7 linked regions of the Callithrix jacchus genome follow. The protein of the gene in region 5 interacts with the protein of the main gene of each other region in a pairwise test. Links are inferred from orthologs where the notes say so. Each region holds a gene or a part of one and is shown on either strand. Other genes may lie near its edges. The genes, in order: SNAI1, MXI1, LAGE3, ZNF202, KRT40, RWDD2B and CCDC185.

Region 1 (3,313 bases), about 47 Mb from region 5:
GCAACAAGACAGAGGTGTGGGGCTGACACGGAGGCCCGAGGGGCCCGGAGCCCTTGGAAACAGGAAGGACATCCTCTGTTTCCTTGGTCAAATTCTACTCACATCTAGGGGAAACGGGCAATCCCACCCCAAAAGACCTGCAGTGCTGGGACAGAGCTTTGCAGCCTGCCTAGCTGGTAAGACCCAGGAAGCCAGCTTTGCACCCCGAGGGTCAGATCAGCTTCAAAATTCAAGAAAGGAAACAAGAGCCACAGTGTATAGTGAAGAGCTCATGTGGACGCTGGCGGCTCACCCACATGCCAGCAGGCAAGACACCCGGGCCAAGGGGAAAACCCATCTCATAAGGTCCCTGACAGTGTCACCCAGGACTCCAAAGCCCTGTGAGTTTCCCAAGGACAAGTTTTAAGGCTGTGTCAGAATATCTAAGCTTCAGGAATTCCTGTCCCCTTCTCCCTTACCAAAGACCTTTCAAAACACCCACCCCTCTATTACAAAGAAACTTTTTAATATATAAATTAACTGCTTTATTGAATATCAATAAACTGCATATATAACTATACAAAACGTTTCCTTGATACAAAATGCTTGAAATATAAATACCAGTGTACCTTTAAAAATGTAAACATCTTCCTCCCAGGCCCACCTGTCAGGCACCCAAAATAGTTCTGGGAGACACATGGGTCAGACCAGAGCACCCCACTCAGGCCCCCGACAAGTGACAGCCATTACTCACAGTCCCTTTTGAGACATTGTTAAATTGCCCGGGAACAGGTGCCACCCCGCCAAACAGGAGGTTGAAATAGCAGTCTGCCACCACCTCCGCAGGCCCCGGGGCTGCACCTGGGGGTGGATTATTGCATAGTCAGTCACACCTCATGGAGGGTGGTCTGAGGGTTCCTTGTGGGGTGGGGGTGAGGGGAGTAGGGTCCCCTGAGTGGGGTAGGAGTCCGCTTTCATCCCGTAGCTCAAAGCAGCTGTATCCAAACAGCTCTGGATACAAAAACCCACGCAGAAAGGCCAGCTCAGGACAGCCCCCGGCCTGGGGCTGCCAGCTGCCCTCCCTCCACAGAAGTTGCCACGGGCAGGCCTCTTCCAGAGCCCACTGAGGGACCCAGGCAGAGGAAACAGAACCAGAAAATGGCCTTCATCAAAGTCCTGTGGGGCTGAGGCAGCCAGAAGTGGGGTGCTCAGGAGGGAATTCAGTGAGAAGGACCTGGGCCCTTCCCGCTGGAACTGCGGGGAGGCTGTCAGGGAGGGGCTGGTAAGGAGAGGAAGAGGGAGCCTAGAGGGTCAGCGAGGGCATCCTGAGCAGCCGGACTCTTGGTGCTTGTGGAGCAGGGACATTCGGGAGAAGGTCCGAGCGCATGCCTGGCACTGGTACTTCTTGACGTCCGAGTGGGTCTGGAGGTGGGCCCGCAGGTTGGAGCGGTCGGCAAAGGCACGGCTGCAGTGGGGACAGGAGAAGGGCTTCTCGCCTGGGGAGAGAATGGCCAGAAAGGCTGAGTGAGCCGTGGGACAACAGCTGGCAGCGATGGGAATCCCTCCCCACGTGCCCCAAAACCTGAAAGAATCCCATGATCCCAGGAAAGCCAGGCCACAGTGAAACGAGCATCCAGGCTCCAAAGGCCAGGACCTGACAGAGCTCTGCTGCTTCCCACGGTACAACCCCAGGCAAGCTGTCTGGCTTCTCTGAGCCTGCATCTTCCACCTGTAAAATGGGGCTATTCGCTCCCCACTCATAGGGGTCGGTAAGTGGCAGGAGATGGGGTACAGCACTCATCATCCTGCAGGAACGTGGGAAGGGGTGCAATGATGACTGCACACTTTTACTGATTGGTCCTACTGTCACTCAATCCTACAGTGGTCCTCATTTCAGAGAGGGTGAAACCGAGGCCCAGAAGTAGCATGTTCAGGGTCCCCTGGCAGGACCCCAAAGCCTCTGATTTCACCCACTGTCCTTACTGCCTTCAGTCAACGGACGATGTGGCTGGTGTGCCTTGTGGTCCTGGAGTCACTCCTTGATTTATTTTGTTGGGGGCCAAAGCTAGAGTCAGCCTTACTAGGCCTCCCCACCCCCACTGCAAGGTGGTTAGGCCACCCCCGGGCCCGGCCAGCATCCTGCTTTGCTCACCACCCCACCTCCTGTGCCGAAATCCCAAATCTCCTTGTCTGTTCTCCAATGAGGCCGAATCCCATAAGGGCAGGGGCTTCCCTGAGTCCATTTAAGCCCAGCCCAGGGCCTGGGCCCCTTTCTACCACCCAAGAGGCTACAGAAACCAGTGCCCATGACACACCAACTGCCTGGCTAAGGCTGTGTTGGGAACTCAGTCCTCAATAAGCCCTTAGAGAAGAAATAAGTATTCTTAAAAATAAAAAGGCCTCAGAGGAGCCTGCCCCTTACTCGTGCCTCATCACAATCTCTGCTCCAACCAAAAGCCTACAGTTCCAAAAACACCAATCAGGTTGTTTTGTCTTTTTTTGGGGACACAGCATTTTCCAAACAAAAAGTAATAATAGTTACTCTTTAAACAGAAACCTATGGAGGCCAGGTGTGGTGGCTCATGCCTGTAATCCCATCACTCTGGGAGGCCGAGTGAGGCAGGAGAATTGATTGAAGCCAGGAGTTTGAGACCAGCCTGGGCAACAAAGAAAGACCCTGTCTATAAAATTTTTTTTAAATTATTGAGCTCCTACTATGTGCTACACACTATTCTATAATACTGAACAGTCTTTTTAAAAAATATGCAATTCTCCTATCCCTTCACACCCAGTCCGATATGCCCTAAGGCCAGGGCTGGCTGTTAAATCCCAGTGCTGGATGAAATTTAAGAGCTGGGAGTGAATTAATTCCATCAACTCCTGGGTACCTAGGGTGCTTCACTGAGCTAGCAGGGTAGGAGGGAGTCCAGAGGATGCTTCCAATGGGACCTATACATTCAACAGGGACCTACGGAGAGCCTGAGAGCTGGGCTCAGTCTCTGGAAATGTACCACTCCACAGGGTGGGGGACCTAGGGGATGGGGGAGGGGATGGCTGGGAGAGCATACTACTCCACTCTGCCATTACTCCGCACGTTGGGCCTGCAGGGTTTGTTGATTGCATTCTGAGTCTTCATGTGAAAGAGAAAGTTAAGTTCTCACTTGTGAACTAAGGGCTGACTCTGGAGATCTGGTAAAGGGGCTGGAGTCCATTCGTAAGACTGGGCGGGTTATGATGGTACCCCCTTCCCAGGGCTGTGGTGAGCCTGAGCACTGCCTCCTGCACAGTAAGTGCTTTAAGTGTGATGGCACACACACGAACAAAAGAGAAAGGA
Region 2 (3,500 bases), on a different chromosome or scaffold from region 5:
CAAAGACAAATATTTTAGGATAGATGGAGAGAGAAATTAAGGATGTGGTATTTTTTGAACTCTACATATAAAAATTCACTTCACCAGTAATAAAAACATTGACATCATGTATCTTCCTGACAAAATGGATTGAGAAGGGCACAACATCATTTCCGTGACATTCCTTGCCCAAATGTATACACGCAATCTAATCATTTGAAAACATCAGACAAACCCAAATTGAGGGACATTGTATAACACAATTGACCACTATTCAAAAGTGTTATTGTCAGGAAAGAAAGACCAAGGAACTATAATGCAATGTGGGATCCTGCATAGGATCCTAGACCAGACAAAGTATGTTGGTGGGGAAACTGGTAAAATTTGAATAGAATCTGTAGATTACTTAATAGTACTCTATCAATGTTAATTTGCCGGTTTCAATAATTGTATTGTGGTTATATAAGATGTTAATTTTAGGAGAAGCTGGGTGAAGAGTTACATGAGAACTCTATAATTTTCTATAGGAAACTTAAAATTTTCTGTAAGTCCGAAATTATCTCAAAATAGAAAGTTAAAAAAATAAACATTTTGAGGGAAATTTCTCCTCAACCTCATGGATTTACCTTCCCTGTGCCCTGAAAGAACTATGATCATAGTGATGAGCGAGTTCTGAGTATTCAACTTCATCTTAAAAACAATACTACTCCACATCTTTCACAAGGCATAATTCAGCAGTTAACAGTGTATCTGAACAGAAAATCCACAAATATGTTCACAGTTTACCCCTACTCCTTAAAGACCTGTAATTGAACTTTTAGTAACTGTCTTAACTGCATCATATATATATACACACACACACACACACATATATATACACACATATACATACATATATATGTGTGTGTGTGTGTGTGTATATATATGTATTCAAAAAAACAGTTTTATAGTCCACACTGGCACTGCTAGACAATATTATGATTGCATAAAACCTAGAATATTACAGTTGGCTAGAAAGAAAGTAAATACAGTGCCTCCCAACATACCACCTACAGAGATATTTAGTATTTCATTATATCTCCAGATACAGAGGTATTTAGTATTCCATTATAGAAGAGGCAAGCTGCCTACCTCGCTCTGAATCAGAACGATCTGAAGAAATAGTTGATCCAATGCTGTCCATTCGTATTCGTTCCATCTCCTGAGGACCCTGCAGCTGTTCCAGTCGCCGCTTTAAAAATCTCTGTTCTCGTTCCAAGTTCTCGAGCTGGTGCTGGCTCTTCCTTTCAGCTTCTTCAAGTTTCTGAAATGAAATGGTATTTACATTTGTGTATAGTCCAGTACAAACAATAAAACTGATTCCTTCTTTGGCAGAGAAAACATGAATGAATATACACAAATTGTGTGTGTGTGTGTGTGTAAAATATACACATTGTTTAAAGCCTCCAAAATGTGAATGTATATAAATACATATTTTTAAAAATAAAATATAGTTCTGTCTTTTCCTTTTCTGTGTACGTAATGCATGCTATGCTACTTGAACAAGATGGACTTCTAAAAGCCTGTAAACTAATCTCCACGGAGAAACTTCCTCTGTGTGGTATTTGATGGAAAAATACTGAAGGACACAGCCAAATGAAGTCATCTCCACCAGAGGGCACAACTGCCTTCCTTCTGAGTATGAAGAAGGTAATTGTTATTTTCCTGGTGTTCCCAGCTCTTCAAATGGCCACGTTGTCAAAACAGTTTAATCAGGTTATGTTGTTCCCATCAGATTAGCTGATAAGTTTTTAGAAAGATTTCTCTTGAGGTCATTTATTAAGGAGGGCATGGTGAACTAGCTGATGTATATGAATAGGAATCACTGCCAATAATTAAACCAGAACTGAGTGAATTATGCAAATCTGAAAGTAAAAATTCTCACCTTGATGTGTGCTTTGGCTTTGTTGAGCAAACCAAGTGTTGTGTGCCTGGTGCAGTCTGGTCCTAGTGGAATCAGAACTTTTAAGCGTTCTAAACAAAGGCGCAGATGAGCTCGTCTAAGAAAGACAAAAAGTCAACACAATCTGGATATTCCACTAGAAATATCATAAAACCTATTTTCAGATAAATAATTTGCATTTATTCAGCCTATAGGGTGGATGTTACACCCCTAATTCTCCACTTTCGAAGAATCCGCAAGTGTAGGGGGTGGCTGCATTTCAGTCTGCTATTTCTGTTGTACTCTGTAGACAACAGTCACTTTAGATTATTATCCCCAATGGTAATCTCTGTCAAGATGGTTTATTTTTTAACTCACCCCATAAACTGTCTCAACTATATTAATATGGAAGTGTGTAAACATACCAGGACAATTTAATCTTGAATAAAACCATAGGCAAGAGGAGGGGTTTTCAGCTGTAGTACCTCAAGGGAGTATAAAATGCTCTTAAGTTTCTATTTCCTCCCTCCTACCTTTTACTTGCACACACAACACACACATACACAACCTACCTCTCTACAACTGTAGCCATCCTACAGTGTTACATTTGTTGTATATTAGGTTGAACCATATGAAATTTCTGATATTCACCCATTTTTCACTTATAAAAATGGTGATTTCTTATACTCCACAGAAACAGCAAAATTCTGTTGTGGCCAGCTAGGGTAGGGTTAGACAAAATATATGCCCTATGGTCAACTCTAGGCACAGAAATAACTCATAAAATAATCCCCTGCCTCTTAACTGTACTAGCTTATTAGCTTAATATTTATTTTTCTCTTCTCTCTCCACCTGCCTCCAGTCGACAAGGACAACAGGTGACAAAAATTCTTTACTGAAATTCATTGCATTCTCTAATCTACCCTTCCTGTGGGAAAGTTGAAGGAAATTTCTCCTCAACCTCCTGGATTTACCTTTCCTGTGCCCTAAAAGAACTATGATCATAGTGACGAGAGAGTTCTCAGTATTTAACTTCATCCTAAAACAATACTACTCTACATCTTTCACAAGGAATAATTCAGCAGTTAACAGTGTATCTGAACAGAAAATTCACAAATATGTTCACAGTTTACCCCTAACTCCTTAAAGACCTATAATCAAACTTTTAGTAACTGTCTTAACTGCATCAAGAACAAAATACACACCCTCCATTTTCTTCTGAAAGAGGACCAAAATGGTTTTGCTAATTCACACACCAAACTATGCACTTTCTCTGTCTTAAAAGACAAGAAATAATGTCAAGTGAAATGCTCAAAGGCTAGGAATTTGAAAGAGGGTAGGAGAAGGCAATAAGCAGCCAATTATGTCATGACAAGCAAGGATGATTAAGGGTAGTGAGGTCAGAGGTTTGGCTGATGAATTGTTAAGATTCTTTCAGCACCTACTAACCCAACTATAGTTAAAGGTCTGACAGTATTTCCATTCCAAATTTCTTGATTGAGTTCAATACCTCAAGTCTAATAATTGGGTCCAGGCTGAAACCTGACATAACTAATGTGGATAAAGGAATCCCTCAATTAAAAGTATATCCATGGATTCT
Region 3 (3,393 bases), on a different chromosome or scaffold from region 5:
GCATGTGAGGAAGCTACCCAAGGCCAGGGAAAGACATCACCCCAGCAGGAAAGGAAGAAAGGTGACTCCAGTATGCAAGCAGGACAGGGACTAGCAGCTGTCCCCACCCACCAGGATACAGAAGCTCATATTCACCTGGGCAGCATTGGCCAGGGTGCCCTGAATGGTGTTTGTTGCCTCCATAGCCGGGAAACTGAAGTCTACCATAAGAGCTGCTCCAGTCCCATGCAGCACATCTTCAGAGAAAGACTAAAAAGGATCAAACCGTTTCCATGTTTTCTGAGGATACGCAGTTGTACCTCTTTATTTCCACTCTCAGAAAATCCAATTGAATCTACAAAAGAGTCCTAAGACTGAGTTTAGTGTATTTACAGGGAGCCAACTCCTTCCCCAAACACTAGTCAGTTGACCCAGCACTTTCTTCACTGTTAGAGGAAAGAAGCTCATGTTAGATTTAAAATTCAGGAAAAAAAATTAACGCTAAACTTGCAAAAATTATATGCTGTATATTACAGTTACACGTTTATTACTATTAACTTCAGGGGAAAACAACTGTAATAAATGTAACTATAAGGAAGGATTCCAAAATGTTGACAGTAGTTGATGCTGAATGAGAGCCCAGCTGATTTTCATTTTCTTCCATTTCCTAAATTGTCTTCAATTTCCTTGAATATCTGGATTCTAGAACCTCCCCTGTAACCGAAGCACAATGACTAGAATATTGGGAGGTGCTGTAGCTGAAATAAACTCAGACTTGGAACAGTAGCTCAGTTTTATTTTCTGTGGTAACAAACATTTAAGAACCAGATCAAACAAGGGGCCCCTGAGCACCCACGGGCCAGTACAGGCCGACCATGAGGCTTTCACAGGAAAATAGCAACTGTGGGAACTCCTGCCCTAGGGAAAGCTGGGTGCCCTACCTAGGGAGACGCAATATTAGACCTCACCCCATTTTCCCAGGCCAGGCTTAGCGGGGAACGGGGGGCCCAAAGCGCTGCATGGTCCGCAGCACCAGGGAAAGCTGGTCGAGAAAGTTGATGACGGAAATTCGGAGCAGGCGACAGTCTTCAGCTTTCCAGCGGCTAAAAGTGAGGGATAAAGAAAATAAAATTGGAGGTGACAACTCCTGGTCCGTCACTCTGCCGCTCAGGCACCCATTACAGCAAAGCCTCGGGAGCCCATGAGACAGCCCCTCAGGTGGAGACCGGCCCGGCGCACCTGGCGCTCCTTAGGGTTCATCCATGGGTGCCCCCTACGTCTCCATCGGTTGCCTCCCCCAACTCCAGCCCCTTTCAGAACTTACACGGTCAGGATCCTGCCGCTCACTGTGAGATCCTTCCCAATCACCCTTTGGTGGGGCTCGGCATCTGGAGCCAGGGACCCATGCGCGATTTCCGCCTCCAAGGGGGTCGGGAAAGGCACACTAAGGGTGCTGGGGGGGCATTCGGTTAAGGTGCCATCTGATACGACTTTGCCTATGTCTCAGGCCTTCTTGATCCTCTGAAGCCCCCCCTCAGGTCACCCTACCTAGAGTCATTCGCTTTACTCCTCACGTGGCCCAGGCCACCGCTGGCAGGGCTTCTCTCCTTCCATTTCTATTTCTTCCCCTCCTCCGAGCACCCCTGCTCGTCTACCCCGGTCGCCGCCCGCCCTCCTTTCTTCCTCCCCGAATCCAGCCCTCGCCCCGGCGCAGGCAGCCGCCAGTCTGTTCCCGACCTCCCCTTGGAAAGAATACAATATGTGCGGCCGTATTCCTGAACCCCTGGCCGCAGATGCGGCGTCTCTGCCAGGACCTGGCGGGTGCGGTGGGGAAGGTTCGTCAGCCGGAGCTCCCGCTGTGTCCGTGCCCCTGGGGCAGCTGTGGCCACCCTGGCCATCCCTGCCAATTGTGCCTGCGCCAGCGTGTGCATTCGCGCACCGCATGACCTCCGCCGCCACGCAGCTCGGACTCCACCCCCGAGGCGCAGGCCCCCACGCCCCGCCCTCTCTCCCGGTCCCTTTCCCGAATCCCCGCCCCCTGCGCCCGACTCCGCCCACACGCGCCGGCACTCGTTCTTGGGAAGCCTGCCTGGCGCGTGGTCAGTTCCCGCCAAGCGGCCCTGCCGGGTGCCTTCTGAGACCGAGTCAGCGGTTAAGAGGCCGCGGTCTCCTCCAGAAACTCTGTCCCTTCGCGCGTAACTCGATCCCAGGCCGTCAGTGCAAAGTGACCCACAGTCAGTCAGGCCCCAGGAAGCCAGCCCTGACGGGGTTTTGAAGACCCCGTGGTCGCCTAGCCCAGAGGCGCACCCTGCAAGGCTCCGCCCCTAACTGCGCCTTGTGACCGCAGCGCGCCTGCGCCGTCTAGGGCCTGTGGCCTCGGCCGGGCAGGCCCTAGTGAGGCCCTAGTGAGGCCCGAGGGTGTCTGGGCGCTTCCCGCCCTGTTTCTTACCGGTACCCAATATCCCCCGGAGATGTGGCACTAACGTGCATGCAGCGACTCGCGGAGGGACGGTGGCGGGGTCTGATACCCCCCCACAAGGATACTGCTCTTGCCCACGACCCCATGGTCCAACCGAGGGGGCTTCACAGTGGACGGTAAAGAGTCGGATTTACATTTTAGAGGAGGCATTTTAGAGCGGGGTGGGGGCGCTGTGCGGAGCGGGAGCCTGTCAGCAGAACGCCTGCACTGAGGCGAAATATGACGGCCTTGAACGCAAGTATTGGCGCTGTGCCTAGGTCTCATATAACGTGGAAAATCAGACTGCACAACTATGAGTATGAAAATGCCACTTTAGGCCGGGCGCGGTGGCTCACGCCTGTAATGCCAGCACTTTGTGAGGCGGAGGTGGGGGAATCACCTCAGGTCGGTAGTTCGAGACCAGCCTGGCCAACATGGAGAAATCCCGTCTCTACAAAAAAAAAAGAAAGAAAATGCCACTTTAGGGCAGGCTAAGTGGCTCCCGCCTGTAATCCCAGCACTTTGGAAGGCCAAGGGAGGAGGATCACTTAAGCCCAGGAGTTCAAGACCAACATGGGCAACATAGTGAGACCACATCTCTACAACAAATACAAAAGTAACTTTTCTTTTCTTTCTTTTCTTTTTTTTTTTTTAGAAACGGGGTCTCACTATGTTGTCCAGACTGGAGTGCAGTAGCTATCCACAGGTGCAATACTACTGATCAGCACTGGATTTGACCTGCTCCATTTCCAACCTGGGCCGGTTCACCCCTCCTTAGGCGACCTGGTGGTTCCCCGTTCCCGGGAGGTCACCCTATTTATGCTCAACTTAGTGCGGACACCCGATCAGCATAGTGCACTACAGCCCAGAACTCCTGGGCTCAAGCGATCCTTCAGCCTCAGCCTCCCGAGTAGCTGGGACTACAGGCACGCAACACCGCACCTGGCCAAAAATAA
Region 4 (3,946 bases), on a different chromosome or scaffold from region 5:
TCCCTGCCTGCTGAACCAGAGGAATCTGAGGAGTACCAGGTTCCCACTGAAGACCAAATCATGACCCAAAGAAGTAATCCCAGAAGTCATTCTTGCTGTGGGCATGGCTTAGTGTCCGTCTCCTCACTGTGGGCCCTGCCCTCAAGAGCAAGGATCTCCTTATTCATTTTTATATTCCCAGTGCCTACCACTTTGTCAAGCCCTTAGTAGAAAAGGTGCCCAATAAATGCATGTTGAGTTTAATTTAGCTTTCTATTTCTCCTTCCCCAACTTGTATATATTCTAGAAACACTGAAAATTCAGAAATCGGCAGGGCTCCTGGGTAATAAACCGTTCACAGGGATAGCTGCAGGAATTTGGCATTAGCATTCATTCCAATCTCTTGGGGTAATCAGGTGGCATAAGCATAACCTGCTTTACTGTATAGCATAAGGTCAGGGGAGAAAAAGTTCAAGAGGGGAGAAAGACAAGGGATGGAGATCAACCCACAAGTATCTACTGAGCATCAATTGTATCCCACACTATTCAAGGCGCTGGGCAGAGAAAGACAAAAAAAGCAGAAGGTCTGACCTTAAGGAACTTAACAGGTAGTTAAGAAATAGCAGGATTTTAGCAATACTAGGAATTCACAGCAAAAGCCCAGAATACAGGTGTAATTTATATGATCAAAAAGTGATGTCCCTATCAAGAGAATTAAGAAAACCAACGGGAAGAACTCATCAATATTTCACCTCAAATTTAGCATATAGTACTCAGTTAAGTACACGTTCTTAATTTTACGAACAAAATATTCAGACCTAGGTGATTAAATTATCCACAAAAGATCAGATTACTAGTTTCCAACACAGAAGTGCTCAAACAAGGGTCTTCTGAACCCCAACCTACTGCAAGGTGATACTACATTTGGCCAAAAGGTAGTTGTTCTCAAAGTGAAGAACCCAGATCTGCAGCATCAGTACCTGAGCCTTGTTAGAAGTACACATTCTCAAGCCCAGCACAGACCTATTACCAGAAACTCTAGGGGAGGGCCTCAGCAGTATGTGTTTAACAAGTCCTTCAGGTGCTTATAGTAAGTTTGAGAACCATCACCTGAAGCAAACGAACTAAATCTGAAGTTCATGCGGAAAGCCATTGTTGGCTACATTAAAGGGTTTGCTGGTGAGAGAACAGTAAAAGCAAGGGGTCTAGAACTGTTTCACATTTTAAATCTGTGCCAAATTAACTGGGGAAAAAAATGTAAATCTGTAACTTACCTCATCTGTACAATTTGTAATGGCTGAGTCCCTCACATTGTAGTAAACCTTGTTGTACCCTTGGAATGACTGTCTACTGCAATATACTATAAAGAGTACAAAAAGTGTATAGCTGGAGGAAAAAGGGTGAAAGATTATGAATCCCAGGTGTTTGGTCCTAGGAGGAAAAATGCCTGTCCTCTCTCCAACCCTGCCCACCCTCTTATGCTACATAGTAACAGCAGAAAGTTCTCCAAGACTGCTCCGCGTTCCCACGCTTCCCACCAACAAGCCTCTCACGGCTATCCCACAACCTTTCTGAAGTAGCTTCCTGGATCAAGCCCCACGGGGCAGCTTAGAAGAGAAGCTGGGAGGGATGAGAGGCTCCACTAGTTTTCCTTGTGGCTTCTGAGTGTAGCTGCCCTGGGTGTCACCTGCAGAGCGTGGATAGAGAAAAAAAACAACAGTTCTAAGCCCAGCCTCTAAGGGAGAGCCTGGGATACGGCGCTGCTCCCCAGGATCAAGGTGGTTCAAGAAAGGCTGGGTCTAAGAGTCTCCCTCTGGGGAGGTCAGTACAGATTCCAAGGCAGACAGGATTATCAAAGCGCCTAGGCGATAAGAACATTCATTGTTCAGAAAAACAAAAATTAAACTGACAGCTTTCTGAAAGAACACAGCCTATCCAGGGCACGCAAACTAACAAAGTTTAAATCAAGACAGACAAGAAGCAGGTATACTCCTGCTAAAAGTAATGCTAGTGCTGGGAAGAGGTGCCAAAACTGGCTGTTAGGAGTGGGAGAGGAAAGTTGCAAGTGGAGACAGCAGCTACTGGCTTGAGGGGAAGCTCAAGAGTCTGTCACAGTGGTAGCTGAAAAGCCACTGGCCAGATGGACGCCAAGGACTACTATCATCACAGGTGATAAGATCACGGGTGAGTGTATCCGAGTGTGTGCGAGGGGAATGAAGGGAGCTTGGGGGTGTAAGGAGATAGGGCTCGCCGGGGCAAGGAACCCGCGGAGATGATCTTAAGCAATCTGAGAGTCGGGGTGAAAAAAGGCTGAGGAAAATAAAGGGGCCTAGACCACTCCTCCCTCTGTTCCGGGGGGACAGTGGCGCGGAAGCGATGGGAGGTACGAGGTACGGACTAACTACATTTCTGCAGGCCCCAGGAGGGGGCGGAGGGCGGTGGCTGGAAAGGGAAGGAAGCCAGGAGCGCCATCCGCGTCCCCGGAGACACTGGCTCTCGCCACCAGGAAACACAGAGGCCACAACGTCTCGGTCCCCTCAGTACACCGCCGCCGCCCCTTCCCCAGGACACGGTGATTTCCCCAGGCTCTCGGGGGGCGGGGTCTCCGGTCCCTCCCCCTCCTCCCCGCCCTGCCCTGCCCGGCTCTGCCCGATCTGGTCCGGCCCGGTCCAGCCCGGCCCGGCCCAGCCCAGGCCCCTCAGCACTCACGGCTCCGACAGCTCCGGCGGCTCCTCCCCTGCCCCGGCTTCTCTCCCACCCACTCCCGATCGAAACAGCGCCGCCGGATCCGAGCCGCGCGGGGCCTAGCGGGTCGGAACACGTGGGGCCTTTGCGCCCGGAACCGGAAGAGAACGCTAGCCCCGCCTTCTCGCCGCGCTGGAGCCTTTCTAGGCTGTGGGAGGTTTGGTCCTCTCCGCTCTCCGCGGGTTGCGGTTCGGGTGTTCGCCAAAGACCCAGTGCAAAGAAGCTTTGGACCCCACGGCTTCCCTTTGCGACCAACCCTACTCTGCAGCGAATAAGTTAATATCTTAGGCTTTTCATTTATACGTATACCTTCTGCAAGATTCTTCTTTTTGTTTTCTGTTTTTAGTCTTTTGTGTGATTGTTTTGGATACATCGATGTGTTTTTCTTGATATTTTCTTTGCATTGTCTGCGGCAGCATGGTAGAAAAGGGCAGCGTTAGGTTTGAATACTGGCTCTTGCATCCACCATCAGCATCAGGGCCTCGGCCCAGTATCTCCCATCTCTGAACCCTAGTGTGCATCATATTGTGACATGGTAATTGCCCCATAAACTGCATACCTCGACCATACTTCGGCTTTGCATGGAAACTGCTCTCTGTAACCCCAATGTGATAGGCAAGCAGTCCAAACCCACGCCATCTTGGCCCCTGTGACTTGTAATAAGTAACTAAGGTCTGTAATTTCCACCCTACCCAGGCGATGTGTAAACTAACGCTTATCTTGATTTCTGTGAACCACTTAAGTAACAATCGGAGTGTCCAAAGTCCCCTGGCCCTCGGAATGTCCAGAGCCCCTCACCCTCACCCCCACCCAGGAGGTGGTTTATGGACTGTCCAAAGTCCACTGGCCCTCAGAATGTCCAAAGCCCCTCGCCCTCACCCCCGCCCGGGAGGTGGTTTGCGGAATTCCAAAGTCCACTGGCCTTCAGAATGTCCGAAGCCCCTCACCCTCACCCCTGCCCAGGAGGTGGTTAACGGGCATAAAAGGTCTTGACACCCTTCTTTTGGGGCCACGGGTTAGAGAGACCCAAGTCCTCCGTGGCCGCCTGCAATAAAGACCCTGTAATTTGGCCTAGTCTTTGTCTCAGTGGTGATTTCCCGCTCTCTCGGTTACAACAATATAAAATGGGCATAATAATACCTTTACTGTGAGGACTAAATGAGACATTGCTCATGAACTGATTGGAACATCAGAAGCTCAGAGAATAGTATTGTTATTTCTT
Region 5 (4,262 bases):
AAAGATCGTTTTCTTTCAGAGAGTTGTGATTTTTTTGAAAGTGTTTTTGAATCCTTGAACTTGTGTTTGTTGCAAAGCAGCATCAGCATACCATGAAGCACTCTAAAAACTTTTCTCATAAGTGTTGATGTGTAAAGAGAATCACTAAATTCAAACTCAACTCTGCCCAGGGAGTAAGAGACTATTTTAACTCACTTACATATGTTCTCTGGCTTGGTTTGGTTTGGTTTCTCTTCTCAGCTACCCAGGAAGCAGCACTCAAGATTAGGAGAAGAAATAAGTTTATTTTGGATCATAAATTTTTTAACTTTTTCAGATTAATGTGTTTTTTTCCTATAATGTTCTTAAAAATTCTAGAGGCAATTTTCTCTGTGCACCTTTGAAAATGAAATACATGTCATGACTAACGCTAAGCAAAGTGAAATAGATTGTACTTCATAACGGAGGTGAAATTCAAGAGAGAATCCAAAAAAGTCACACATCTCAAGCTCCTATCTGTCAGATTTGGCATCAGAGATTTCAACCAGTGGAATTAGTCATTTGGAACCTGAATAGAATTTTATTTCCCAAGTTCCAGTATGTTTATACATCTCAGAAGCAAAGACTCCTGTGGGTTCCTCCCTCTTTTCTGAAGTATAATCACTGAGGAATTCCCAAGGGACTAAAAGATTATAACTTAGAAAATTTATATTTCACTCTTATTAGGAATACAGGTAAAATTGTATGACTTATCTAAAAATAAGAAGTGTGGAGAAGGCAAGTTTCAGGAAGTCAAAGATCATAATTCCAGCTCTAACCAATATATATTTTAACTTACAGGAAACAAGTTATTCCTATCAGTTGTGTAAAGAGACTTTTCCATTTGTATGCAGGTAGACATGGTTTGTACACACACACACACACTCACACTCTTTAAACCCAGTATATACCTCACTTCTCCAGTCCTGTCAGCACATGCTCTAAGATCACAAAAAGCACTGGAAGATTGCTAACCACACTGACCATTTTTATAGTGGTGGACAAACAAATGAATGTCCTTTTATGAGCCGTAATACTAATTTTAAAGAAGACACAAGCAATCAATGCACAGAATCAAAATCTGTGGGAATATTAATTTCCTGATTTGTAATGAGTTGTATCTATAATTATTGATTGGCCAAATGTTCTCTTTCTTTTCTTATTCTGTCAAAAAGACAATGCTTCCTATGATGATTTTCTGAAATAAGTGTTTTGTCTTGCACATGGAAATGGTGTGGGCCCTGCTTTGGTAACCTAAAGTTATCCCCCTTTTATGAGGCATACAACTCTTCTTCAGTAAATAAACAACTCTAATGAGATGTTTGTATAAAAACCGGCACCATCAATGATGACGAAAACATCCGGTGCAGTCTGTAAACACCCATTTTGAGGGGGCGCTATATAAAACTCTCAGGAGGGAAGGAGTGTTTTGGAGTCAAGGCAACTGGTGTTTTGCAGCCAGTCTCTGTCTTTGCTTCTAGAAGGATGTCTTCTGACTGCTCCTCCACGCTCTGCTCTCCTGAGTCCTGTACCAGGGCTTCCTGTTGTGCACCTGCCTCAAGCTGTTCCATGGAGACAGCTTGTCTCCCCGGTTCCTGTGCTGCATCCCGATGTCAGACCCCTAGCTCCCTTTCCAGGTCTCTCGGGCTGACCGGTTGCCTCCTGCCATGCTACTTTACTGGGAGTTGTAGTAGTCCCTGCTTGGTGGGGAACTGTGCCTGGTGTGAGGATGGAGTGTTCACTAGCAATGAGAAGGAGACGATGCAGTTCCTGAATGACAGACTCGCCAACTATCTGGAGAAGGTGCGCAGCCTGGAGGAGACCAATGCAGAGCTGGAATCCAGGATCCAAGAGCAATGTGAACAGGATATCCCACTGGCATGTCCCGATTATCAGTGTTACTTCAACACCATTGAAGATCTCCAACAAAAGGTGCATGTCCTGTTGCCCTAGTGCTCCAGCTTCTCGATCTATGGTTTGCTTTATCTTTCTACTAGAAGGTGCTGTTTTACAGAAGGAAACCAAGAGAAAGGAGAGTTCTACAAGTTAATGGTACATAGGGAAGAGCACTGTGCTGGAAGTCGGGAAACCTCAGTCCCACCCCTAAAGCTACCCCTGATTACTGAGTAACTATAACAAAGTAACTTGTCTGTGGACTTTTCCTTCGTCATCTATAGAATGCAAAAAGACTGTGTTATATCCAAAATCGCTTTTGTATGTGACACTGAACATTTATATTATCTGAACACAGATCATGAAATGCCATCTTTTTAACCACCTAGTCATTTTCTTCTCTCCCTGATGAATTTCCATTATGGGAGAGGGTATAGTCATAATACAAACTACTGATGGAGAAAAACGTTAATGGCGTTCCACTGCCTAGGAATAGTGCAAAATGTCTTATGTTATGAGAAAAAGTGAACCTTTTTATGTCTCTATTTTGTTTCTGAATTGGCACTGCTTGTTTGCTTCATCAAGTGACACGGTGAATACGGAAAGCAGCTAACGGCCATTTTACACTTTCTTATAAAGACTTTCAAAGGATAACTAATGGCATAGCTGTTGGATAGTAGTTTATTTAGGTTTCTCTCAAAGAATACTTTATTAAATAAGGACTTTCTTCACAGATCTTATGCACGAAGGCAGAGAATTCTAGACTTGCTGTACAGCTTGACAACTGCAAACTGGCCACTGAGGATTTTAAGTCAAAGTGAGTTGAATTTTATTTAATTTATTTATTTTGAGGTGGAGTTTCCCTCGTTGCTCAGGCTGGAGTGCAGTGGCACTATCATGGTTCACTGCAACCTCCGCCTCCTGCGTTTGAGCGAGTCTCCTGCCTCAGTCTCCCAGGTAGCTGCGATTACAGACAGGCATGTGCTGCCATGCCCAGCTAATTTTTGTATTTTTAGTAGAGAAGAGGTTTCACCATGCTGGCCAGAATGGTCTCAAACTCCTGACCTTAGGTGATCTGCCTGCCTTGGCCTCCCAAAGTGCTGGGATTACAGGCATGAGCCACCACACCCAGGCTTAATTTTATTTTGAAAATAATTTATGGCGCTCTCTCTCTCTCTCTCTCTCTCTCTCTCTCACACACACACACACACACACACACACACAAACACACACACACTCTCTCTCTCTCTCACACACACACACAAATATTCTCTATATAATATCTTAAAGTTAAGAATGTCTTAAAAGCTTGAATTTATCATTACTCAGGAATTAAGAGAAATTCTGCATGTGGCTTCCTGAAATTCATATGTCGATCCTCCATGTATCCTCACACTTTGCACAGCATTCAACAGAATAAGTGTTGGATTTCTCTTTTGCTGTGAAAGGTACGACAGTGAACTGTCCCTTCGCCAGCTGTTACAGGCTGACATCAGCGGCCTGCATGGAATCCTGGATGAGCTGACCTTGTGCAAATCCGACCTGGAGGCCCATGTGGAGTCTCTGAAGGAAGATCTTCTTTGCCTTAAGAAAACCCATGAAGAGGTAAGGAAAGTGGCAACTCCGTTGAAGGACTCCAAGAGTGACATAGTTACACTGACAGATGATCTGTTGATGTTTGTGAATAGAACTAGGGCAGATGTTGCTTAAGCTAGACTAAAACTGCTCAAGGCATTATTACTGCTCAGCCTGATCATTCCAGTGTGTCTCTGAATTAAGATGTGAAATACCCCTGGCCAGTGCCAGACGAAGAAATCAAACTCTTCTCCTGCCCCTGCCTTTGTGGAGAAGGTGAATAACTCCACAAATGGCTTTCCTTGGAGGTTTTATGCCACTCCTAATTCCAATCCACCGGCTATAAAAATCAGGCTGAGAAACAGACTGTGAAGGCCATTTCAAAAAGAGAGAAAGACCCGTGCACTATCTGGACCAGTGTTTTTAAATATTCCACATTTATAAACTTTTAAAACTCATAAAATATAAAGCAATTGATATATTAATAAAGCTAGAAAATGAAAAGCTGAATGACGTAACAAATTACTTTGCTCTTTGAACATTTTTTGATGGCAATCATAGCTAACATTCATCGAGAACTTACTATGTGCCAGGACATTTATAAGTTAATTATATGTAGATTAATTCTTCTAGATCTCACAATAACCTTTGGGAGAAATGTCCAATTATTATGCCCATTTTACAGATGAAGCAACTGAGACCCTTGTAAGTGGTGAAAAGAGATTCAGCCTAGGCAATCTGAATAAAAATCTCACACTTTTACCCACTACTCCAAA
Region 6 (4,237 bases), on a different chromosome or scaffold from region 5:
AAAAAAAAAAAAAAAAAAGAAGAAAAGAAAACAGATAGATTGATGAGATATGTGACAAAGCTGGTAGATTAAATTCTATACCTCCAGGTCAGTGTTTTTCAACCTCAACACTATCAACATTTTGGACCAGCAAATTCGTAGTTGTTGGGGGATGTCCTGTTCATTGTAGGAAGTTGAGCAGCATCCCTGGGCTCTACCTACCTCATACCAATAGCATCCTTCCAGTTGTGACTACCCAAAATGTCTTCAGACACTGCTAAATCCTTCCTTCCCCTTCTCTTGAGATCTGCTCCACGGTAAAATTCTCTCGACTTTGCTTAACACTTGAATTTTTTCCATAATGTTGGAGGAAAAAATAAATGGTGACATTGAAAAACGCTTATGAAACACCGTGCAGATGTAGTTTATGAAGACCTACATACTAGCATCTATTTGTTTTTAAAAAGGGGTGGGGAAGAGCTAGCAGTGATATCTAGTATTGCTGAATAAGATTTGCAAATCTTATCTATGACATTTCTCAAATGAATATTAGAAGCATATTGCATATAGTTGGATTGGGAAGAAAAACATTTCCAATTACTCTCCTGTCAGCATCTTCCTACAAACTATCCTTTTATTAACAGGGATAAATAAATAAGCATTCACACAGATCCTCCCAGCTTGGTTACTGGGCAAGAACACATAAGATAGACAAGGCTACCTGCATCTGGGCTCCCATCTCCCTAACTGCCCTTCTCCTCCATGGTTCAGGGACAAGGAGGATCACCATGGTGTGGGAAGATATTAGACATGCAGAATTTAGAACCCTACCCCTACCTACGGAACCCTGATCTGCATTTCAACAGAATCCCCAAACTATTCCTAGGCACCTTGGAGTTTGAGGAGCATTAACGGACCAATACCTTATCCCTGAAAAGTGCCCGCTATACGACAGTGACAGCCACTGTGAAATGAAAACGGGGCTGGCATGTAGCGGTATTAGCCGGGCGTGATGGCTCAGGCCCGTAATCCTAGCACTTTGGGGGGCCGAGGCAGACGGATCACCGGAGGTTAGGGGTTCGAGACCAGCCTGACCAACATGGTGAAACCTCGTCTCTACTAAAAAATACAAAAATTATCTGGGCATGGTGGTGCGCGCCTGTAATCCCAGCTACTCAGGAGGCTGAGGCAGGAGAATCGTTTGAACCGGGAGGCGGAGGCTACGGTGAGCCGAGATCGCGCCACTGCACACCAGCCTGCGCTACAGAGCGAGACTCCGTCTCAAAAAAAAAAAAAAAAAAAGAAGAAGAAGAAGGAGAAAACTGCAACTGAGCAGGGACAAAGCATTCCCTCCGTCCTTCCAACTCCAGAGACAAACACTGGCGGACACCGCGCCAGACAGGCCAGCACCAGCTTCCGGCCCGCGGTCTTGCGCGCGCATGCGCCAGCCGAGGGCGCGCCCTCTTTTCCAGCGGGTCGTCGACTGAGGCGGTTTGTAAGTTTGGGGTCGCAGTATGCTAGAATTTTGAGGTTCCCTCCTGATAAAAATTGAGCTGTCCGTCCAGCCAAGGAACCCGGAGTACAGCAGTGAAGGGGCCACGGCTCAAGGTAAGTCTCGCTTCAGCTAGCGCCAGTGGTGAGTGCCACAGGGCTTTCCCACGCTGCAACTCTTTCCGAAATTGTTTGACAGGGTGCGCATGCGCCCATCGGTGGGCTCGGCTTTTGGCCTTGGCTCCCCGCTGCAGCAGGGGACCTCGCCCAAGGCACAGTCTGAGTGCGGGGGCGGCTGCATGCTGGGCATTCTTCCTGAGAGCATCGCGGCTTGAGTTGCGGAGTACTGTATTCTGTTCTTCAAAACAAATCTGCAAGGAAAATAAATTATTCCACGCAGAAATCTCAAGTTTCAGTCTACGTTCTCTTAAATATATTTTATTTTATTTATTTATTATCTTTTTTTGAGACAGAGTCTCACTCCGTCACCAGGTGCCAGACTGGAGTGCAGTGGCACAATCTTGGCTCACTGCAACCTCCGCCTCCCGGGTTCAAGCAATTCTCCTGCCTCAGCCTCCCGAGTAATTGGGACTACAGGAGCGCGCTACCACGCCCAGCTAATTTTTTTGTTATTTTTAGTAGAGGCCGGGTTTCACCATGTTGGCCAGGATGGTCTCGATCTCTTGACCTCGTGATCCGCCCGCCTCGGCCTCCCAAAGTGCTGGGATTACAGGCGTAAGCCACTGCACCTGGCCTTGAATATATTTTATTTTAAAAAAATAGTTAGGCGCGAGGTCTCCCTATGTTACCCAGGCTGGTCTTGAACTCATGGGCTCAAACGATCCCTCTTCCTCTGCCTCCCAAAATGCTAGGATTACAGGCGTGAGCCACCGCATCCGGCCACAGTCTATTTTCTTAAAACATTCGTTGAAATCTTGAGTCATAAAATTATCTTGAGGGTTTTCTGGAAGTACTTAAATCTCTTCAGCGAAAATAATTTGGCAGATAAATGACTTGTGACGTCACTCCCCTACTTGTCCATTCAAGTGTCCCTGCATCGCGTACTACTTTGCTAATTCCAACTTCGATATCCCAAATTCAGTAGGACCTTCTCCCAACTTTACTTACTCGGGAGACTTTTAAACAAATACGTAGGTCTAAATAAGTGTTGACTCCCAAAATTATATCTCCAGCTGAGTCTCATACACTCCAAAATTGTATGTCTAACTGCCTGCTAGACATCTCTATTTAACAGGTGTCTTAGTAGGCACTTCATTACTTGCGTCTAAAACCAAGCTTCATATCCCCGTGAGCATCACAGTCTAAATAAATTGCAGATCCATGCTTCCGGTAGCTTAAAGCCTTGGAGTCATTGTTACACGTCTCATATAATTCATCGGTAAATACTGTTGCCTCTGCTCTTTCCATATATCCAGAAGCTGAAGCTTACTGTCTTGACCACTATAATCCTATCCAAGCCACCATCCTCTCTCCCTAGTTATTGCAGTGTCTCTCTTGTCACCCCACTTTTCCCTTCACTATTCTCCATAGCAGCAAGTGTGTTTAAGTCAGACCTCTCAGGGTGGCTCTTAGGTGTCAGGATAAAATTCAGAATTCTGGCCATGCTGTAGTAGTCCCAACATAAACTGCTCCACATTTCCTTACTAAACTCTTCTGTCCCCTGTTTCCAGCTCACTCTGCCCTGGCCAGCTGCTCTAGCACCCGCCTGCCTCAAGGCCTTTGAACATGCCCTTTCCCTCGAACACTCTTGGCCAAGAAAAACACAGGGCCTTTTTTTTCAGTTCCTTGAAGTCTTCACTACAGTCCCCTTAGGAGAAAGGTCTTTCCTGACAACCCCATGTGCAGTCTCACCTTTTGCTGCCCCATTGTTTCCCTTTAACTTGTTTTCTTCCTCAGACTTTTTCATAATGGTTATTCACTGGGCATATAAATACTTTTTTTTTTTTTTTTGAGACAATCTCAGTCTGTTGCTCAGGCTGGAGTGCAGTTGGTGTGATCTTAGCTCACTGCAGCCTCCACCTCCCCAGTTCAAGTGAGTCTCCTGCCTCAGCCTCCTGAGTAGCTGGGACTACAGACGTGCTTCACTGCACTTGGCTAATTTTTGTATTTTCAGCAGAGACAGTGTTTCACAATGTTGGCCAGGCTGGTCTCAAACTCCTGACCGCAGGTGATCTGCCCACCTCATCCTCCCAAAGTGCCAGGATTACAGGCATAAGCCACAGCACCTTGACTGGGCATATAAATTATGTTTTTTTGATGTCACGGTATCCTTCCACAGGTAGAGCTGTTTTGTTACTTTCATTCATTGTTATCTTAGTGCCAATGCTTGAACATAAGAAGTGCTTGAGAAACATTTGTTGAAATGATGATTGATAATAATAATGGTAACAAGCAGCCCAACACAGTGGCTCATGCCTGTAATCCCAGCACTTTGGGAGGCTGAGGCAGGTAGATCACCTGAGGTCAGGAGTTCGAGACTAGCCTGGCCAATATGGTGAAACCCTGTCTCTACTAAAAATACAATAATAAGCTTGGCGTGGTGGTGCACACCTGTAATCCCAGCTACTCAGGAGGCTGAGGTGGGAGAATCAGGTGAACCCAGGAAGCGGAGGTTGTAGTGAGCCGAGATCGTGCCACTGCACTCTGGCTAGACCCGGTCTCAAAAAAAAAAAATTTTTTTTTTAATTAATAATTATAATAGTAGCAAGCACTTATTTAAAATTTACTCTAGTAAATAGTAGCAAGC
Region 7 (4,097 bases), on a different chromosome or scaffold from region 5:
GGGGAAACCCCCACCCCCATGATTCAGCTATCTCCCAGGGCCCCTCCCACAACACATGGGAATTATGGGACCTACAACTCAGGATGAGATTTGGGTGGGGACACTGCCAAACCATATCAGATGGTGTAGCTATGGTGGAATAGTCAAGATATAGAGCTGTTGGAGTTATAAACACTTCCTATTAACACAGGGAGGGAAGGCCAGAGAAGTTGACAATCAGGTAAAAACTATAGAGGGCCGTTTCCAAAAATGTTTCACAGAACATCAATTCCATGAAATTATCTGAGAAAATAAAGGGGGGGGGCGCTCTATAATTTGTGAAAAACACTACATTAAACAAATCCGTTTCTTTACTGATGCTTTTTCAGAGCCGTTAACATTTTAAATTGCATTATGAACTCCCAAGAGAGGACACAGTATGCAGGGCTCCCAAATCTGCTTGTTCACAGGAATCCTCCCACTTCTCACTTTTTAAACTTTCTTTTTATCTTGGAGATTTCATATGACAGGTACTTTATACTTTACCCTTCCATAAGTTCTGGGACTGGAAGAGACTTAAGACATACCACAGAACTGTATCCCTGACTAGAGATTTTTCTCTGGTATCTCCAAAATGTGCCCATTATGTGTTTCTAAGATTACTCGAGAGCTAAGTGAGTATTTTCTATTCAAATCAAAATTCACAAAGCCACATTATTTTCATAAAAATTCCCAAAATTTTCTCCCCAACCCTCTAAACTATCCAAGTGAATCAATAAACCAGTTCATGAGAGGAAATTGCAGCAATTTTATATGCTTTTTAAAAATCAATGTTCAATTGTAATCAGATTATAAAAGGAATCACATTGCCACATCTCCTTCTGGCTGCTCCCTCTAAGCCTGGCGTCCTTGGCTCTCAGTGGCGCCCATTCTGCCGACAGGCAGGGAGCGGGCCTCTAGTTCTATCTGATCAAGGGAGCTGTTGCTCCTTGCTCCTCTGTTCTCTCTCCTGGAGGCCTGCGGGAGCTTCCGGAACTCCTGTAAGTTTGAGTCTTTCCCTGGGGTAATGTGCCGCACCCTCTGCTCCTTTTTCTTAATGGCTTCCTTGATGCCCTCAATGTGGCACTTTTCCTCCTTCTCGGCTTTCAGTTTCAGGATGTGGTGGTTCTTCTCACGCAGGTGGTTGAGCTCCCGGAGGCGCTGCACCTTGTCCCTGGCGGTCTTGTGCACATGACTCCTGGCCTGCCGGATCTTCTCATCTGCCAGCTCCACCAGAATCCTTTTGTGCATCTTCCTCTGCTCCCCGGACTCCCCCGCGCGCCACTTGGCCTGCTGCAACTGCTCCTCCTCCTTCTGGGCCTTCTCTCTCATCTCACGGTGCCGCTCCTTCATCAGGCCCTGGTGTATCTCTTGGGACCTCTGGAAACCTTGCTCCAGGGACAGCTGCCTAAGGAGCTCCTCGGCCTTTGCCTGGCAGTCCATGAGGACCTTCCGGGCCTGGTAATTGATGAGGGAGCTCAGGTTGGTGTCCTGGACCTTCTTCTGGCCCTCTGCGGCATGCAGGTGCCTCTTGCGACAGGTCTCCACCAGCCTCCTCTGCAGCTGCAGGCTGTGCTGCTCCCTCATGTTCCGCGGCATCCTCTCCTGCTCCCGCAGGCACCGCACCTGGCACTGCTTTTGGTGCTCTGCCTGGGCGCGCGCCTTCTCCAGCTTCTCCTGGCACAGGTTCTCCTGGTCCTCCGGTTGCTCCTTCCACCAGCTTTCCCCAGGGGGCACGTTCTTCCCCTGGCTGTCCCGCCGCTGGCCGCGCTGCTCATGTCCCGGGAGGGTCTTGCGCTGCTCCTTTTCCTGCTGCCACTGTTCCTGGCTCTGCTGCAGCAGCTGCTGGCGCTCCTGCTCCAGGGTCATCTGGACTTTCTGATCTGAACGCTTCAGCTCCTCCCAGGCCTCAGCCGCCTGCTGCTGCAGCTCCCGCATCCGTTGGGCCTTCTTGAGCCGGATCAGCACCAGGGCCACAATCCGCTGGTCCTGGGAGGACATCACTGCTTCTTCCAGCTTGTTCTTCAACACCTGGGTGTGCGGGCTCCGCCTCTCTTTGCTGGAGGCCGAGGGCTGGAAGTCCTGGCTGGCTAATGACTCAACCTGGTCGCTGCTGTCTCTCTTCTGTGTGCACATGCAGGCCGAGTGTGGCCTGAACTTTTGGGAGGGCACAGAAGACCGCTCTGAGAGAACTAAGGAAGGGGACCAGCGACCTAGACGTCTGCTGAGCGGCACTGCCCACTGGTCTCCACCCTGTGCCTTTTCTATCCTGAATGTGCCACTCAGGGGAGTACCAGCTTCTCCGGGGTAAGGCGGGGGCGAGTCTCCCTGGGCCAGAGGGTAATGCGGGCAGGGCTGCTGTCGTTGGCCTAGCAGCTGGGTTTGCGGCTGCCAGGCCTGGCGGGGCTTGGTTCCTGCCTCTCCCCAGGCATCTTCCAGGCGCCTGCTGCGAGGCCCGTGCTTCCTGGCTCGGTCCAGTGGCCTGCAGGTCACGTCGCTCAGGCTTCGGCTGCCCCGTGGTGAGTCTGGGCACTCGCGTCTGCGAGGGCGTGGGGTGAACGAACAGTGCGGGTGCAGCCAGGGCCCCCCATCCTCGCTCTCCGCACCCAGAGTCCCGGCCCGGGAGCAAGCGGCAGGGCCGGCTCTGGACCTCTGCCTGCCCAGCCGCTGCTTGGTCTCTTGCTCTTCGCCCGGCCGTGGGGGTTCCCAGAGGTCCAGGTAGAGCCGCGGGGAGGAGTGACCGAAGCCTGCCATCCTCCCTCTGGGCACGCGCAGCGTCTGCGCAAGGGGCCTGAGACCTTCATAGGACGCTGCAGACACCGGCCCCGCCCCCCGGTCCCGAGGTCTAGGTCGCCTGTGACGTTCCAGCCACTTCACAATGCGCTTGGTAGCTGGGTCCCCGCAGTCCTCAGCCTTGGCCCGGTGCCGCCCACCCCAGCCTTGCTAGCAACCTAGAATGGGAAGGACAGGAGGCTGAGGATGGGGGTGGGGGTGGGGGTGGGGTGGGGGAGAGAGGGGTTGCAGATTGGAGGAGGGGGTCTGTAGGAAATCAGGGTGACATTTAAAGCTGCAGGTGCATAGTGTCCCCCCACCAGTGTTTGAGGCAGAAGTTTGAACTCGCATTTGCACAAAAATAGCAGGATTTTAAGACAGCCCAGGTGAAGGCGTCACCCTCAGAATGGAAGGGGTGGGTAGAAAGGCCGAGGCACAGTTTCAGGGAGGAGGTACCCTTAGCTGCAGAATCACCGTCCGCCATGTGTGTACCTCTGCAGTGTGCTCAAATAGAAAGGCTTGGACGCATATTAATACCCGACACCAGGCCGGGCACGGTGGCTCACACCTGTAATCCCAGCATTTTGGGAGGCCAAGGCAGGTGGATCACAAGGTCAGGAGTTCGAGGCCAGCTTGGCCAATATGGCGAAACTCTGTCTCTACTAAAAATACAAAAATTAGCCAGGCGTGGCGGCAGGTGCCTGTAGTCCCAGCTACTTCGAAGCCGGAGGTAGGGGAATCACTTGAACCCGGGAGATGGAGGTTGCAGTGGGCCGAGGGCCACACACACACACACACACACACACACACACACACAAAGCGACACCACCCTTTTGCCGTTTTAAGTTAGCAAGCCCAAAGTATGCTTTAATGTTTATATTTTAAGATTTTTAGAACAGGAAGGAGATGACTCTATTCCCTAATGTGGTAATTACTGCTATAGTCAAAATATGAATGCCACATGCACATTTTTGCAATAGCATCAATGAACACCATGCTGAAATCACATTATTTTTTGCCCTTTTCCTCCAGTTTTGTGGGATTCTTGTTTCTTGTTGAGGCACCCTTGGCTAATGGGAAAAGCACTGGATTTGGTAGAGAAAATGAATTTGAATTTCCTCCACCACTCTTCACTTTATTGGGCAAATTCCCTAAGCTTCCCCACCTCCAGTTCCAGCAAGGTGGAGTGGGAAGAGGGGCCTGATGATACCAGCATTACAGGACTGTTGTGAAGCTCAGGTGAAATTGTGCATCCAGAGGTTGGCACCAGAATACATTCAATAAATACTATTTTGGTGCCATGCTAA

The links.
Region 1: the proteins of KRT40 (region 5) and SNAI1 interact in binary tests that used the Homo sapiens proteins (3 or more experiments, as listed by UniProt). The two-hybrid records come from large-scale screens. The link is inferred for Callithrix jacchus from reciprocal best matches to the Homo sapiens genes KRT40 and SNAI1.
Region 2: the proteins of KRT40 (region 5) and MXI1 interact in binary tests that used the Homo sapiens proteins (3 or more experiments, as listed by UniProt). The two-hybrid records come from large-scale screens. The link is inferred for Callithrix jacchus from reciprocal best matches to the Homo sapiens genes KRT40 and MXI1.
Region 3: the proteins of KRT40 (region 5) and LAGE3 interact in binary tests that used the Homo sapiens proteins (3 or more experiments, as listed by UniProt). The two-hybrid records come from large-scale screens. The link is inferred for Callithrix jacchus from reciprocal best matches to the Homo sapiens genes KRT40 and LAGE3.
Region 4: the proteins of KRT40 (region 5) and ZNF202 interact in binary tests that used the Homo sapiens proteins (3 or more experiments, as listed by UniProt). The two-hybrid records come from large-scale screens. The link is inferred for Callithrix jacchus from reciprocal best matches to the Homo sapiens genes KRT40 and ZNF202.
Region 6: the proteins of KRT40 (region 5) and RWDD2B interact in binary tests that used the Homo sapiens proteins (3 or more experiments, as listed by UniProt). The two-hybrid records come from large-scale screens. The link is inferred for Callithrix jacchus from reciprocal best matches to the Homo sapiens genes KRT40 and RWDD2B.
Region 7: the proteins of KRT40 (region 5) and CCDC185 interact in binary tests that used the Homo sapiens proteins (3 or more experiments, as listed by UniProt). The two-hybrid records come from large-scale screens. The link is inferred for Callithrix jacchus from reciprocal best matches to the Homo sapiens genes KRT40 and CCDC185.

The regions. Positions count from the first base shown.
Region 1 is NC_133506.1:45,529,566-45,532,878, reverse strand, and holds the end of SNAI1 (zinc finger protein SNAI1), read right to left. Parts: intron 1,476-3,313; coding exon 1,291-1,475; 3' UTR 501-1,290; downstream 1-500. UniProt on the Homo sapiens protein: Involved in induction of the epithelial to mesenchymal transition (EMT), formation and maintenance of embryonic mesoderm, growth arrest, survival and cell migration.
Region 2 is NC_133513.1:103,218,345-103,221,844, reverse strand, and holds part of MXI1 (max-interacting protein 1), read right to left. Parts: intron 2,019-3,500; coding exon 1,904-2,018; intron 1,283-1,903; coding exon 1,111-1,282; intron 1-1,110. UniProt on the Homo sapiens protein: Transcriptional repressor. MXI1 binds with MAX to form a sequence-specific DNA-binding protein complex which recognizes the core sequence 5'-CAC[GA]TG-3'. MXI1 thus antagonizes MYC transcriptional activity by competing for MAX.
Region 3 is NC_133524.1:150,271,164-150,274,556, forward strand, and holds LAGE3 (EKC/KEOPS complex subunit LAGE3), read right to left. Parts: upstream 1,959-3,393; 5' UTR 1,924-1,958; coding exon 1,736-1,923; intron 1,433-1,735; coding exon 1,304-1,432; intron 1,083-1,303; coding exon 968-1,082; 3' UTR 948-967; exon of another isoform or gene 694-947; 3' UTR 501-693; downstream 1-500. UniProt on the Homo sapiens protein: Component of the EKC/KEOPS complex that is required for the formation of a threonylcarbamoyl group on adenosine at position 37 (t(6)A37) in tRNAs that read codons beginning with adenine.
Region 4 is NC_133511.1:23,371,644-23,375,589, forward strand, and holds the start of ZNF202 (zinc finger protein 202), read right to left. Parts: upstream 2,801-3,946; 5' UTR 2,689-2,800; intron 1,667-2,688; 5' UTR 1,547-1,666; intron 1,366-1,546; 5' UTR 1,254-1,365; intron 1-1,253. UniProt on the Homo sapiens protein: Transcriptional repressor that binds to elements found predominantly in genes that participate in lipid metabolism.
Region 5 is NC_133506.1:92,275,914-92,280,175, forward strand, and holds the start of KRT40 (keratin, type I cytoskeletal 40), read left to right. Parts: upstream 1-1,462; 5' UTR 1,463-1,503; coding exon 1,504-1,950; exon of another isoform or gene 1,951-2,645; coding exon 2,646-2,728; exon of another isoform or gene 2,729-3,359; coding exon 3,360-3,516; intron 3,517-4,262. UniProt on the Homo sapiens protein: May play a role in late hair differentiation.
Region 6 is NC_133522.1:35,080,590-35,084,826, reverse strand, and holds the start of RWDD2B (RWD domain-containing protein 2B), read left to right. Parts: upstream 1-1,437; 5' UTR 1,438-1,587; intron 1,588-4,237.
Region 7 is NC_133520.1:5,346,495-5,350,591, forward strand, and holds the start of CCDC185 (coiled-coil domain-containing protein 185), read right to left. Parts: upstream 2,801-4,097; 5' UTR 2,773-2,800; coding exon 874-2,772; 3' UTR 1-873.